Linked DNA regions of Drosophila melanogaster. Changing the gene in region 1 together with any one later gene gives a genetic interaction. Each region holds a gene or a part of one and is shown in the gene's direction. Other genes may lie near its edges.

Region 1 (6,517 bases):
CATTTGGCAGAGGACCAAAGGTGCCAGCTAGGTCATCATCGTCCTCAGCTTCCGCTTCCTTAGTAGGAGACTTTTCCCGGGTCAAATTGCTGGGCAGGACGGGTCCTATCATGGCCTGCGGTTGTGGGGCTGGTTGGCTTTGCTCAGGGAGTTCCGGCTGCTGGGTCTTCCTTAAATGCGGCGGTAAAGCGGGACCAAAGGAATCTTCGTTGTTTGTAGCCACATCTGGCGGAGATGCATTAATTAAATGTGGAGGTTGCGTGTAAGGCACAGGTGGCTCCTCCTCATGCTTGCTGCGTTTCTTCTCCTTGTGGCGACGCTTTTCTTTCTTGTGCTTTTTCGACTTCTTCTTTTTGGACTTGTCCACATCTTTGCTGTGCTTCTTAAGCTTCCGTTTCCTTTGCCTTTCATCGCTGGACGAATTGCTATCACTACTATTGTCGTCGCTGGACATGATCTGCAAATACAATTAATGAAATAATAAGTAAACCAAGATATTCCTGAGGTTATAAAGAGGTCCATTGGATGTGAAAAGAGAGAATCCCCAAGAAAACTCAGGTCTTTGGATTGGGCTAAACATTATATTGCAGTTAACAACTTTAAAGCTTAAAAGTATTTAACAAAATGCAGCTGGATGGGACAACTTAGTCGGTAGAATGATTGGCAGCCAGGGGATTAACCCGAAAAATAAACCTAAACAGCGAATGTCTTTTGAGCCTTGCGATAGCTATACGCCAATGACTTGAGAATGCCAGCACTGGGAATATTTTTGATCGATTGCGTGACACTGCTGCGCCACACAATGTCGTTGACGGATGCCTGCAGCACCTCCGGAAGCTGGGAGGCCATGGATAGGTGATTCACCACCTGGGTGTAGTCGCCACGACAGGCGGCATTTCGCTGCAATCGCTTCTGAAGCTCTCGGGGCAACTGTCGCAGGTGTTGGCATGTAGCCGATGAGGATTTGTCCTGCTCGAAGATTATGGCTGGTTTCCGGCTCCCTGGTTCCTGGCCCTTCATGTTTACCGCCACATAGTCGGAAAGTTGTCCCAGGGAGGGTTGGTATAGGGCGAAGAAGTCATTGATTTGCGGACTAACTATGTTGTGCACTTTCTGTTTGTTTTCCCCGAAAATCATACGGAAATCGCCCTTGTAACTCAGTCCGGCGATGGTGTGGAAAAGTCCGTAGGCAGTGAACTTCTCTGGTAAAAGTAGCAGAGCCACTTGCAGCGCGGATACAAGATTCCTCTCCAGCGCAGCCTTGAGGGGAGGATTATCAGAAGGATTGACCAGATTCGTCACTGGTTTGTGCAGCCTTCCTGCCAAGTAAAGATGCCGCCAGTCAAGCAGATCCTCCAGCAGCTCCTCCTGCGACACCACGCCGTACTTTATGGTAATGCCCACATCTGGCAGAGGCACCAACGTGTTGCAATAGACACCCGCACCCAAACGCTCCTGATACTTGGCCACAAAGTTCGGTCCCAGGTGCCTAAGGGCGGAATAGTGGTCCGGATGACGGTGCAGGTTCTCCGCATGGAAGCCCCTAGCATCACGAACGCAAAAGACCAGATCCACAACGGTTCCCGGCGGAGGACGCAGGTTGTTTCCATTGCCGACTTTTCCATAGCCTTCCTGCTGTTTGACGCCGGATCCGTAGGCGAACATATAGCTGACACTGCCCAGAGGAAACCGCGCCACCGTGCGTCTGTATAGGTCCAGCATCTTGTGCGTGTTTTACCTCCTAATTGGACTAAACTTAGGCTTTATAATTACTTTTTTTTTAGCACGTAACTCCACTTCTTCTGGATGGAGTTGATGCTTCTCGGTCAAGCTCCTCGCTTTTCGCCGGCGCCGGAGGGGTGTACACACTGGCAATCAGCTGGCTGAAAATTTTGTTCAGGGTTTCACTTGAACAATTTAGCGCCCTCTTGAAAAAATAAAAGAAAAGACCAAATATTTAACAAAGAAAATATTTATTCAGTTTAATTTATATTGAAAGGAATATATATTTAGTTCAATATAATAATAACATTTTGCTTTTAAAAAGAATTTGTAAAGTATTGTTCATCAAAGCAGGTTCTGTTTACGGTTTAACATAACGAAATATCACCATTCCAAATTTGGCTAACATTTGTAAAATACACCTTCATATCGATTTAATTCGATTGCGGTCAGCACCGTTTTAGTGCTATATAGTGATCAAATTTCGCCGCCGGTAGTGTTGACAAACTCCAAATTCAAGCTGTTGTTATTCTCAAAAAAGAAGAAGAGAAAACACGCACATTTTCCACAATCTGTAAAACGACAAAAAATTTGTACGAAAATAACACAAGACATTCGACAAGGAAACACTATACAGACATGCCGCGAACCCCGAAAAGAGTTCACCAGGAGGCCAAAGAGGAATCGGCCCAAGCAGACCAGCCGCCAAAGAAATCCGCTTCAGAAGATGTTGAGGCATTCACAAACGTGGGTAGCAATTCAGCCAGCGTACATAAGTATATTTCAATCCAATCCCTACGTGTTCTGCTCTGACATTCCAGAAAGGGTTCAAGAATGCAATCGCCGCCACAAAAGCCGCTAATGCTTTCCCACAAGGAACAGCCCGCGCCCTTTACCTAAGCTATCCAGGCTACGCACGTGTTATGGAAGACCTGACCCAACGGGTGGTGGCGCTCATCGGGAACGTGCTGCACTCCAAGGACATCAAGGGCGACATCAAAAAGTAAGCTTCTAACCATGACATTATTCGAAATGTTGAAAATACAGCACAGCCATTGAAATCAAAGTTGGTACCTGTATCTGTAAATAACAATAGATCTTTATTCTTTAAACAGACGCCAACCGGAAGAGCAGTTTGAGATGGTGCAGGAGTGCAACGACGTACTGTTCGAGCGCATTACGACTAATCTAGACATTAAAGGTGGTCTGCGAAGAAATACACAACAGGTCGTAGAGGCCCAGGTGGACGTGATGAGCAGCTCCACATCCATAGAGCCCGCAGTAGCTTCCCCACAAACCCAAGGGACTCCAAAGGCAGGCAGCTGGAACAGAACGACAGGAACACCCCAACGCAGCATGGTTTCGGCTCGTCTCTTCACCGCCAAGAACATCGTTCGGCCGCAGACGCAATTTAGGGAGCCGGTGGATAACAGTGCCCAGAATCCGTTTGTTCCAAGACTCAAGGAGAAACCTAATTCTCTTAAACCGCTGGCCCTGCTGCCCGAATACGATGATGCCGGCAATGTCCAATCCTATTTGCATCCCTACGAGTTTGAGCTGCTTAAGTTTCAGCCTCCGGAGGAGCAGTTCCAAAAACAAAAGCCAGTGCTTCCAGCTCTGATGGCAGAAACCGAACTAATGGTGGTTGACACGGTGGAAAAACTGAAGCAGGCATTGGAGGAACTGAGACAAGCGCCCCAGATCGCCATAGATGTGGAGCACCACTCGTATCGCACCTTCATGGGCATCACTTGCCTGGTCCAGATGTCTACTCGCAGCAAAGACTATATTTTTGATACCCTGATCCTACGCGATGATATGCATATACTAAATTTGGTACTCACCGATCCCAAGAAGCTGAAGATACTGCACGGCGCCGATTTGGATATTGAGTGGCTTCAGCGGGACTTATCGTTGTATATCGTCAACATGTTCGACACGCATCGGGCTGCCAAAGCCTTGAATATGGCAAGGTTATCGTTGGCATATTTGCTTAAGCACTATCTGGACTTGGATGTGGACAAGAGCCTGCAACTGGCCGATTGGCGGATGAGACCGCTTCCCCAGCAGCTGGTGGACTACGCTCGTCAGGATACCCACTTTTTGATATACGTTTACGGACGGATGACAAACGATCTGCTGCAGCAGCATGCCGAACCAGGTCTGCTGGGCAGTGTCTATCAACAGAGCACGGATGTCTGCAAGAAGCGTTATAATAAGCCTCACATCGGACCAGAATCCCATTTGGATTTAGTAAGAAAAACGAAGCGCTCTTTCGACAACCGGCAACTGTACGCACTTCGCGGAATCTTCGAGTGGCGCGATGCGACGGCGCGGTCAGAGGACGAGAGTTACGGCTATGTGCTGCCCAATCACATGATGCTGCAAATCGCTGAGAGTCTTCCAAGGGAGATGCAGGGAATCCTCGCCTGCTGCAATCCCATTCCGCCGCTGGTGCGCCAACAGCTGCACACGCTTCACCAGATTGTCCTCAAGGCGCGCGATCAGCCGCTGGTCAAAGTGAGTTTCTTGGCGGTTTCAAGCAGCGCTTGCAACTCGATCAACGTTGGCGCCTATACCGATAATTTTTCATTACCAATTAACTGTAACTAACATTGAAATGAAGAACATGTTCTGAATTCACCTTATAGTTCAATTCATTTCACAACCGCAGGTCAACTAAAATAGGTTTAATGTTACCAAGTGTTGGGGTGGTATATCTAATGTTTAATGTTCTTGACTTTACTTACGATTTTAGCCGATCCTGGAAGCCCACAGTAGTACACAGGCAGCGTTGCCTCCGTCGACCAAAGACTTTAGCAGCAAGCTCTACTGTCCGCACGATTTTTCGCAACTGGAGGAGATTCGCGACGACCTGCCAACGCTGTTGAAACGTAATTCAACTACAGGAAAACTGGAGGTGCCCAATAAGGAGGAGGTTGCCAAAGTAGATCCAACCTTAGCGGCACCAGCCATGGCTCTGTTCGAAAAGCAGTCCAAGCCGACACAAGAAGAGGAACAGCGCTGGGCCCATCTTCGCAAGGAGAGCCAGACAATGCGTATGCCCTACAAACGCTATCTCGCCATCCTACCTCTGATGGTGCAGCTGAAGGCCGATCAGTTGGCCAGGGAGCGAAGTGAGTTGCAAAAGAGGCAATTGTGTCCAGCAGCCCCAACTGTGGAGCAAAACATTAAGCTGGAGGCACACGCCATCGGAAAGGAGGATGATGACATGTACTCCGTCCCGCTGAAGGAACAACTGAAGCGCAAGCACCCACAAGCGAACGTGAAAACAGATCCGGAACAGCAGCCGACTGCTAGCAAGCGACCTCGCAAGGACGAGAATTCACAAACCAAACCGCCGGTAAAGATCGAACCAGTCGAAAAAGTTCAGCAGGCTTTAGGCGAAAGCGATGATGAGGTCGTTGAGGTTCCTATCGAAAGGCAAGCCACAGAGCCACCGAAACCATCACCGGCACAGAACAACCGCAAGCAAAAGAAAAATCAGTTCCAGCGCGGATTCAAGGCCAAGAATCGAGGAAACCACCCGCAGAGCTCCAGTCAGCAGGTTCCGCAGCACAAGGGTACAGGCAACTTTGACTACAAGAACGTGGACTTCCGGCAATTCAAGGGAGGAGCGCAAAGAGCCCGGGGCACAGAAATCAAGCAGCAAATTCGCGGCAAGGTGAGTGCTATGAAAAGTATTAACAAGCTGGCTTAGCTTTTACTGAAACGATCTCTTCACTAAACATTTATAACGCTTGTTTTTTTTTTTAGAACCGTCCCAACAATCGGAACAACAAGCAGTTCAACAAGCTTTTTACATTTAGTAATGTAAGAAAAGAGGGCAAAAAATGAACTGCAATCGTGACGAAGTCTGTAAAATATACATAACTGGTATATATGTGAATTCAATAGTAAGAATGCGAGCAACACGAAAACTGATTGATGAAACTGATGAAGAAATAAACAAGTGTTTATTTTTGATTGTTTATAAATTCTTTTCAAGTTACAAAACTATTTTTTCTGAGCTTTGCAATTTTCTAAAATATTACCTATTAAATAACAACCGTAACTATTCATTAAACTAGACTATCGGATATGTTGTTATGGATCGGTTTGTAGTTCAATATTTAAGAACAGTTTTAAGAGATGGTCATTGAAAAAATATGGGAAAACCAAATAATAATTGGGACGTGGGAAATGTCATGGTAATAGGTTTAAATTTCAAACTTATTTCGTCACAACGAATTTTGTATGATTTAATTCCTAATTGGATGGCATCTCAATTTTTCGAAAACTTTTCTAGCATTCAAACCAATACAAGAAAGGACAAAAGAACTTAATTTAAAATAGGAAAAAACCTGTTTCGGGCATTTAAATATTTGGAAGAAATACAGAAGTAAAACATGGACTAAAATAATACGATAATTTCTCTATCTAACTTTAGCTTAAGTAGGATGTGGAAAGTGAGTTCCTAAAGCTCTAGTGCTGGCCATTAGCCCCAATCTTGAGCTGAAACTACAGAGTTTTGAACATTTTGTCGCCCTCGATGTCCATGCAGTGCTCCACAACAGCATAGACCACCAGAAGTCGTCGCTCCACTCCTTTTTTATGCTTATCCGTAATCAGGGGATAGAGAGCATCCTGCTTGGATAGTCGATCGATGATTTCCGTGAGTACGCCGCCGGAAAAGACTTGCAGGCGATCCCACGTGGACTTTCGCAGACTGTAAGGTATAAACGTAAATAGTTATAGGTATTTGGAAATTGGTCGAAGACTTACAGGCAGCATT
Region 2 (5,107 bases), on another chromosome or scaffold:
GTGAAACATCGATAGTATAGTGAAAAATCGATGTTTTCTTTTCGTCTTTTGTTTTGCTCTCGCTCTTCTCCATGAAGTGATAACTTCTCAACAAAGTGATGATGATCCATCAACCACTATTTGGGTATTCATCCTCAATTCGGATTGATTCGCCCGTAAATCATTACTTATATTTAAATCCTTGTTTCTACTATGTCATCTCACATGGGCACAGTTATGATTTCTCCACGCTCAAAACGGACAAGGGGTCATCATCTACCTTGCCCTTCTTTTTGGCTGCGCAATTCTTAACGCATCTCATGGCTTTGAATAAGACTTTTTCCGAGGGTAGCGTCGGTTCCACCTGACCGATGGCGTCTGTAGTTGGGGATAATTATTGAATGGATCACTAAAAGTTGGATGTCGAGCACTAAACTTACTCATAAGCGAACGAAACAGATGTTCGTGATCTTTTAGTCTTTTCTTTTTCTGATTCCCATCAATATTGTAGTTCAGAAGGATGTCCTCGGAGAAAATGAGTCTTATGGTGCGGCTTAATCTTCCCTGGCGCAGGAATTTCCGCATGGAATTCGTCTGATCAGGGATCATATAAGTACAACTATATAATATTCTATTGATGGAAAAGCATGAGGAAGGAGAAACTTACATAGATCCCCCTGGAGTCCTGGCTTATCTTGTGATTCACTTCGACCAGATCCTCCTCATACATAATTGGAAAATCATCGTCCGGATTTCCCTTCGCCTTCGGCTTGGTCGTTTTCATCGACTGCTTAACGAATTCCGTAAGTGTCTTAACCGCCCTCGTCAAGTTTTCGATTTCTGCGCGCTGCGACAGGACTTGGGAATTGAGTTCTAAGTGGGTTAGGTAATGTAATATGATCCGGTGTTATAAGATATGTATGTCACAAACATACCATCTATCTTTGTTAGCAGCATGGCATTGGCTGCGATATGACTATTCTCGGTGGCGAGGCAAAGTCTCTTGATTTCAGGCATTGCTTCGTTAATTTTTAGCATTAAAGTGAATACATATGTATATTTAGTTTATGAATTGAGGAAAGTCCCTAATGGAAGCGATTCGCTTCGCTACACAGTTAAGCTCCAAATGGAATTCCTCGCTGTTTCATCATTGCCTTCGCTAGGCGACGAATGGGAAAGTAAGGGCACGGGCAAAAACTCCCTCTTGCTCATCACATATGAGTAACTGGTGAATCAGTGATGACGACGTCTGATTAGCGGCGGAACTGTACAGTAGTACAGAGAACATGGTGAAAGCCAGAATATCGCATGACAACCAATCGCATAAGCCACAGGATAAATAATACTAATTGTTTATAATAATCACAATGTTTTTAACGAATTTAGTTGGTGATGCGTCCTGTCAGTTGAGTAGGTGGGAATAGCATGGACTTTCCCCAAATAACAAATGCTAAGTTGGGTTTTTTTAAAATTGATTTAATACATTTTTTTTATGTTACAGTTAAATTTGAAACTATATTTAACAAGCAATTTGGATGTCATCGATATTTTGTAATAGGACCATTCACTTAGCGGAGTCATCAACCTTGGCGAATCTAGCGAGCACATCCACCTCTCGCTTATCAGGTCTATCGATAACATCGCTCATCAATCGATTCGTGAACCAGCTCTATCGCGAAACGGTCGCGTGTTCGCACGCAAATTGCAATATAAATCCACAGAAATTGACAGGGAACGTTGCTAAAGGGCGAAAAACAATCGTGCCGCGATTGAGGCCTGCGATCTGCACAGGAAATGCACAATTGCGAAGCGCAATTTGATAAATTCGGTAATGTTCGATTCTCGAAAGAACCAGTCGTGTGCGTCTGTATGTGCTTCAAATGTCACTCTGTGTGCGGGTGTGTGGGGAGTGCATAAAAGGCATAGAGGCAGCAAGGAGTGAAAGAGAGAGCTCCATCGGCAGCGCAACGAAAGTGAGCGAGAAGCAGAAATTGTTAGTGCTTATAAGGATATGTGAGAAGGGAGAGTGAGACAGTAAGAAAGAACGGAAGAAGCAGCAGCGACGCCGACCGACAACAACTGTAATTTTCCATTAATTTTTGGGCGGGTTTTGTGCTGCACAATAATACAACTGGCATAATATAACTTGGCTTATTTTTTATAACCAACATGTGTATTTTGTTCACGTTTTGCTGCGTGTGTAGGTGTGAGTATATGTATGTGTGATAAACTTGAAATACAACGCAATCGCAACGAGAACCAAAACTTGTCAAGGTAAAACGGCTAAAAAAAAAGAAGAAACGAATTGTGTGTGAAAAATTCCAACTGAATTACGCGAGAAATCATGTGAAGAGCAGTTCGATACGCATGTGTGTGCGTGTGATAGAATACGAGGATGAGAGCGGGCGTGCGTTTGGAGTAGTCTGCTTAATTGATTTTCGCTTAATTACTGCAGCGGTTGCATAAATTAAATGTTTACATTTGCCCCGGACAGTGCTGTAAAGAGAGAGAGCCCTTCGAAGCCAGGTGGCAACACCGAGGCCCGTCTATCGATATCCACTGCAATTAATTACTCCGACTAATTTCAGCCTCTGTATGTTTTTTGCCGGTTAAAACAATAAATCGCTCTCTCTTTCTGCCTTTCTTCAATATCACTTCGCCCCGCTCTCTCACTTGCTCTCCTTGGGTCGTTAGCCAACACTGGCGAACATTAAGAAAGTGTTAATTTGCCTAAAATGTACAAGTACATGTGCGCGATGGCCTGCTGTAAATGTGTGTGGGTGTACGGGAGTTTTCCTCTGTCAAATGCAACTAAGTTTTTTTTTACCGAAAATTCAGCCAGCAAATGAAAATCGTATCGGGTAAAATATGCATTAGGTGTAGGTGTGTGCGCATTTAGCGGTTTCTCTGCCCATCTTTCTTCTCCCTTTTTTCTTATTGTATTATATTTTTTTTGCATAATCGAAGCCGCCTTTCGGTACATGTGCATGTGTGCTGTCCCGCTCCCACTCCCACCCCCATACTACGGCCACCTGTACGCCCTTGCACACTCACACACAAACGCACACACCCAACAGAGTCACACGCACGCTGCACAAAACTAGAGTAGCTATCAGTGTATTGGTGCGAGATATAATATCACTTGGGAAGTCATTTATTTGCGGGTCTCGGAGTCTCGTGAGCTGTTTTTCCTTCTGTTTTTTTTTTTCGAATTGCTTGTTGTTTTTATTGCATTTTGATTTGCTTTTCGTATGTGAAAAACCTTTTTGTTGTGGCCCATTTTTGTTTTTTTTTTTTCTAGCGCGTGTGTGTATGTGTGATTTTTCGCGCTCTGAAAAACAATTTTCGACTGGCGCCTTTAAACGCTTCAGCTGCAATTGGTTTGCAAAAAGGAGTGAATAAGAGCGCTCGCTTGAAAGTGGTGGGAGGGAGGGGATGTGTGAGAGAGCGGGGCATTTCTATTTGTAGAAAAAGAGCGCATAATTTGTAATAGTTTGCCATTTACGCTTTCCATTTTGTGTAAAATGCATGCAAACCCCTTTTAAAGAGCAAAAATAACAAGAGCAGCACCAACAACTACTGTTACTATTGTTTCCTTTCCTTCAATCTCAACCCCATTCCTTTGTTTATTTATCTCCCCGAGTTAACCTAAAACCTGTACATCAATAACAGTATTTTGATATCAGTATTTATTTGATTTATCAAATTACTTGAAGTTGACTTAGGATTATTATAAACAATGAGTCCCAAACTGGTTAAAGCCTCGAAATACAACTGCTGTAGATTATATCGAAATGTATATGGTTGTACTTAGTGAACAAATGGAGGGTATTTGTTCTTCCAGAACTTTCCTAATATAAGCCAATCTCTCTCTCTTCGCAAAACTGCGAACATTGGCATATTTATTGAGTGATAAGTTAATAATATTAATCAAATTAGGTGTTCTGCCTTGTTTCACATTAATTGTTAACAAATAAGATTGACAAGTCTACCTACTATACCAGAATATACCGAAATTAAAATGGCAATGACTTTAGTGTAATATTGTGATCATAACTGAGAATTCTATTGTTTTGAACCGTTAAACGTATGTAGAGGTAGTAGAATAGGATACGCATAACTCCTACTCCGGTAACTAATTAACATTTTTCGTGACACTCTTTACAGCACTTGAATGCTGACAGCATTCAAAGAGGTTTAGTCCCGGCAGCGACTTTAATTAATTTTTCCCTGTGGAGCACAAAGATCACATCGGATCTATATAGAGTCACGTCTATATATTCAGACCACCAGGACGCAGAGGATAGAGGTGAAAGGACGAAGCGAAGGAGAGACGCGCGCCCCCCTCGTTTCCCGCCCAGCCAACAGCCGTGTGAACCCGTCTTGAATGGATCCATTTGTTGGCTGGTTTCAGAAGGAACAGGAGGGACCATCGCTGTGCACATGGTTAAAGATTTGGGAGACGAATGCCCAAGAGATGGGCGCATTGCTTAATCAACAGCTACAGCAGGCGACGACGATCAACGGGAGCACGAGCAGCAGCAGCAGCAGCAGCAATAGTGGTAACAACAACAACAACAACAACAATAACATCATCAATAACACTATCACCAACACGACCAATAACACTGGTAACAATTCATCGGCCAAACCCTACTTATCGCGACCCTACAGCTCGCTAAATCGGGTGCTCAATTTCCGAGCGGATTCCCTGGAGATCCTGCAGCAGCAACAACAACAGCAGCAGCTCAACGGGACCACTCAGCGCAACAGCACCAACATCAATACCACAAGCGGCGGCAGCACTAGCTCGTCGGCAGATTCCACCACGAATCGGGACAATAACTCACCCGCCAATAGCAGTTCAACCAACGGACCCGGAGCAGGAACGGGAACGTCAACAGGAGCAGGAGGTACCGGTACAAATAGTCCGGCGACGACAGCGTCAAGCACAGCTGCGACCACGACTGGTCCAGCCACTAGTATGAGCGACACCAGCAACAACCCGCCACAATCAACGACCACGCCCGCCAGCCGCACGAACAGCATCTACTACAATCCATCGCGGAAGAAACGACCGGAGAACAAGGCTGGCGGAGCCCACTACTATATGAACAACCATATGGAG

The links.
Region 2: of Rrp6 (region 1) and Trf4-1, changing one suppresses a phenotype caused by changing the other (phenotypic suppression), as found in Drosophila melanogaster (one study listed by BioGRID).

Annotation. Positions count from the first base shown.
Region 1 is NT_033777.3:14,881,787-14,888,303, reverse strand, and holds Rrp6 (Rrp6), read left to right. Parts: upstream 1-2,057; 5' UTR 2,058-2,361; coding exon 2,362-2,469; intron 2,470-2,543; coding exon 2,544-2,725; intron 2,726-2,837; coding exon 2,838-4,242; intron 4,243-4,480; coding exon 4,481-5,407; intron 5,408-5,499; coding exon 5,500-5,580; 3' UTR 5,581-5,806; downstream 5,807-6,517. Other genes in the region: CG33332 (uncharacterized protein), read right to left, coding at 1-454; CG33331 (uncharacterized protein), read right to left, coding at 694-1,722; CG3631 (uncharacterized protein), read right to left, coding at 6,244-6,451, 6,508-6,517. UniProt on the Drosophila melanogaster protein: Catalytic component of the RNA exosome complex which has 3'->5' exoribonuclease activity and participates in a multitude of cellular RNA processing and degradation events.
Region 2 is NC_004354.4:8,559,007-8,564,113, forward strand, and holds the start of Trf4-1 (topoisomerase related function 4-1), read left to right. Parts: upstream 1-1,888; 5' UTR 1,889-2,253; intron 2,254-2,688; exon of another isoform or gene 2,689-2,755; intron 2,756-4,146; 5' UTR 4,147-4,366; coding exon 4,367-5,107. Other genes in the region: CG12112 (uncharacterized protein), read right to left, coding at 215-357, 420-573, 647-852, 915-1,017. UniProt on the Drosophila melanogaster protein: Involved in a post-transcriptional quality control mechanism limiting inappropriate expression of genetic information. Polyadenylation is required for the degradative activity of the exosome on several of its nuclear RNA substrates.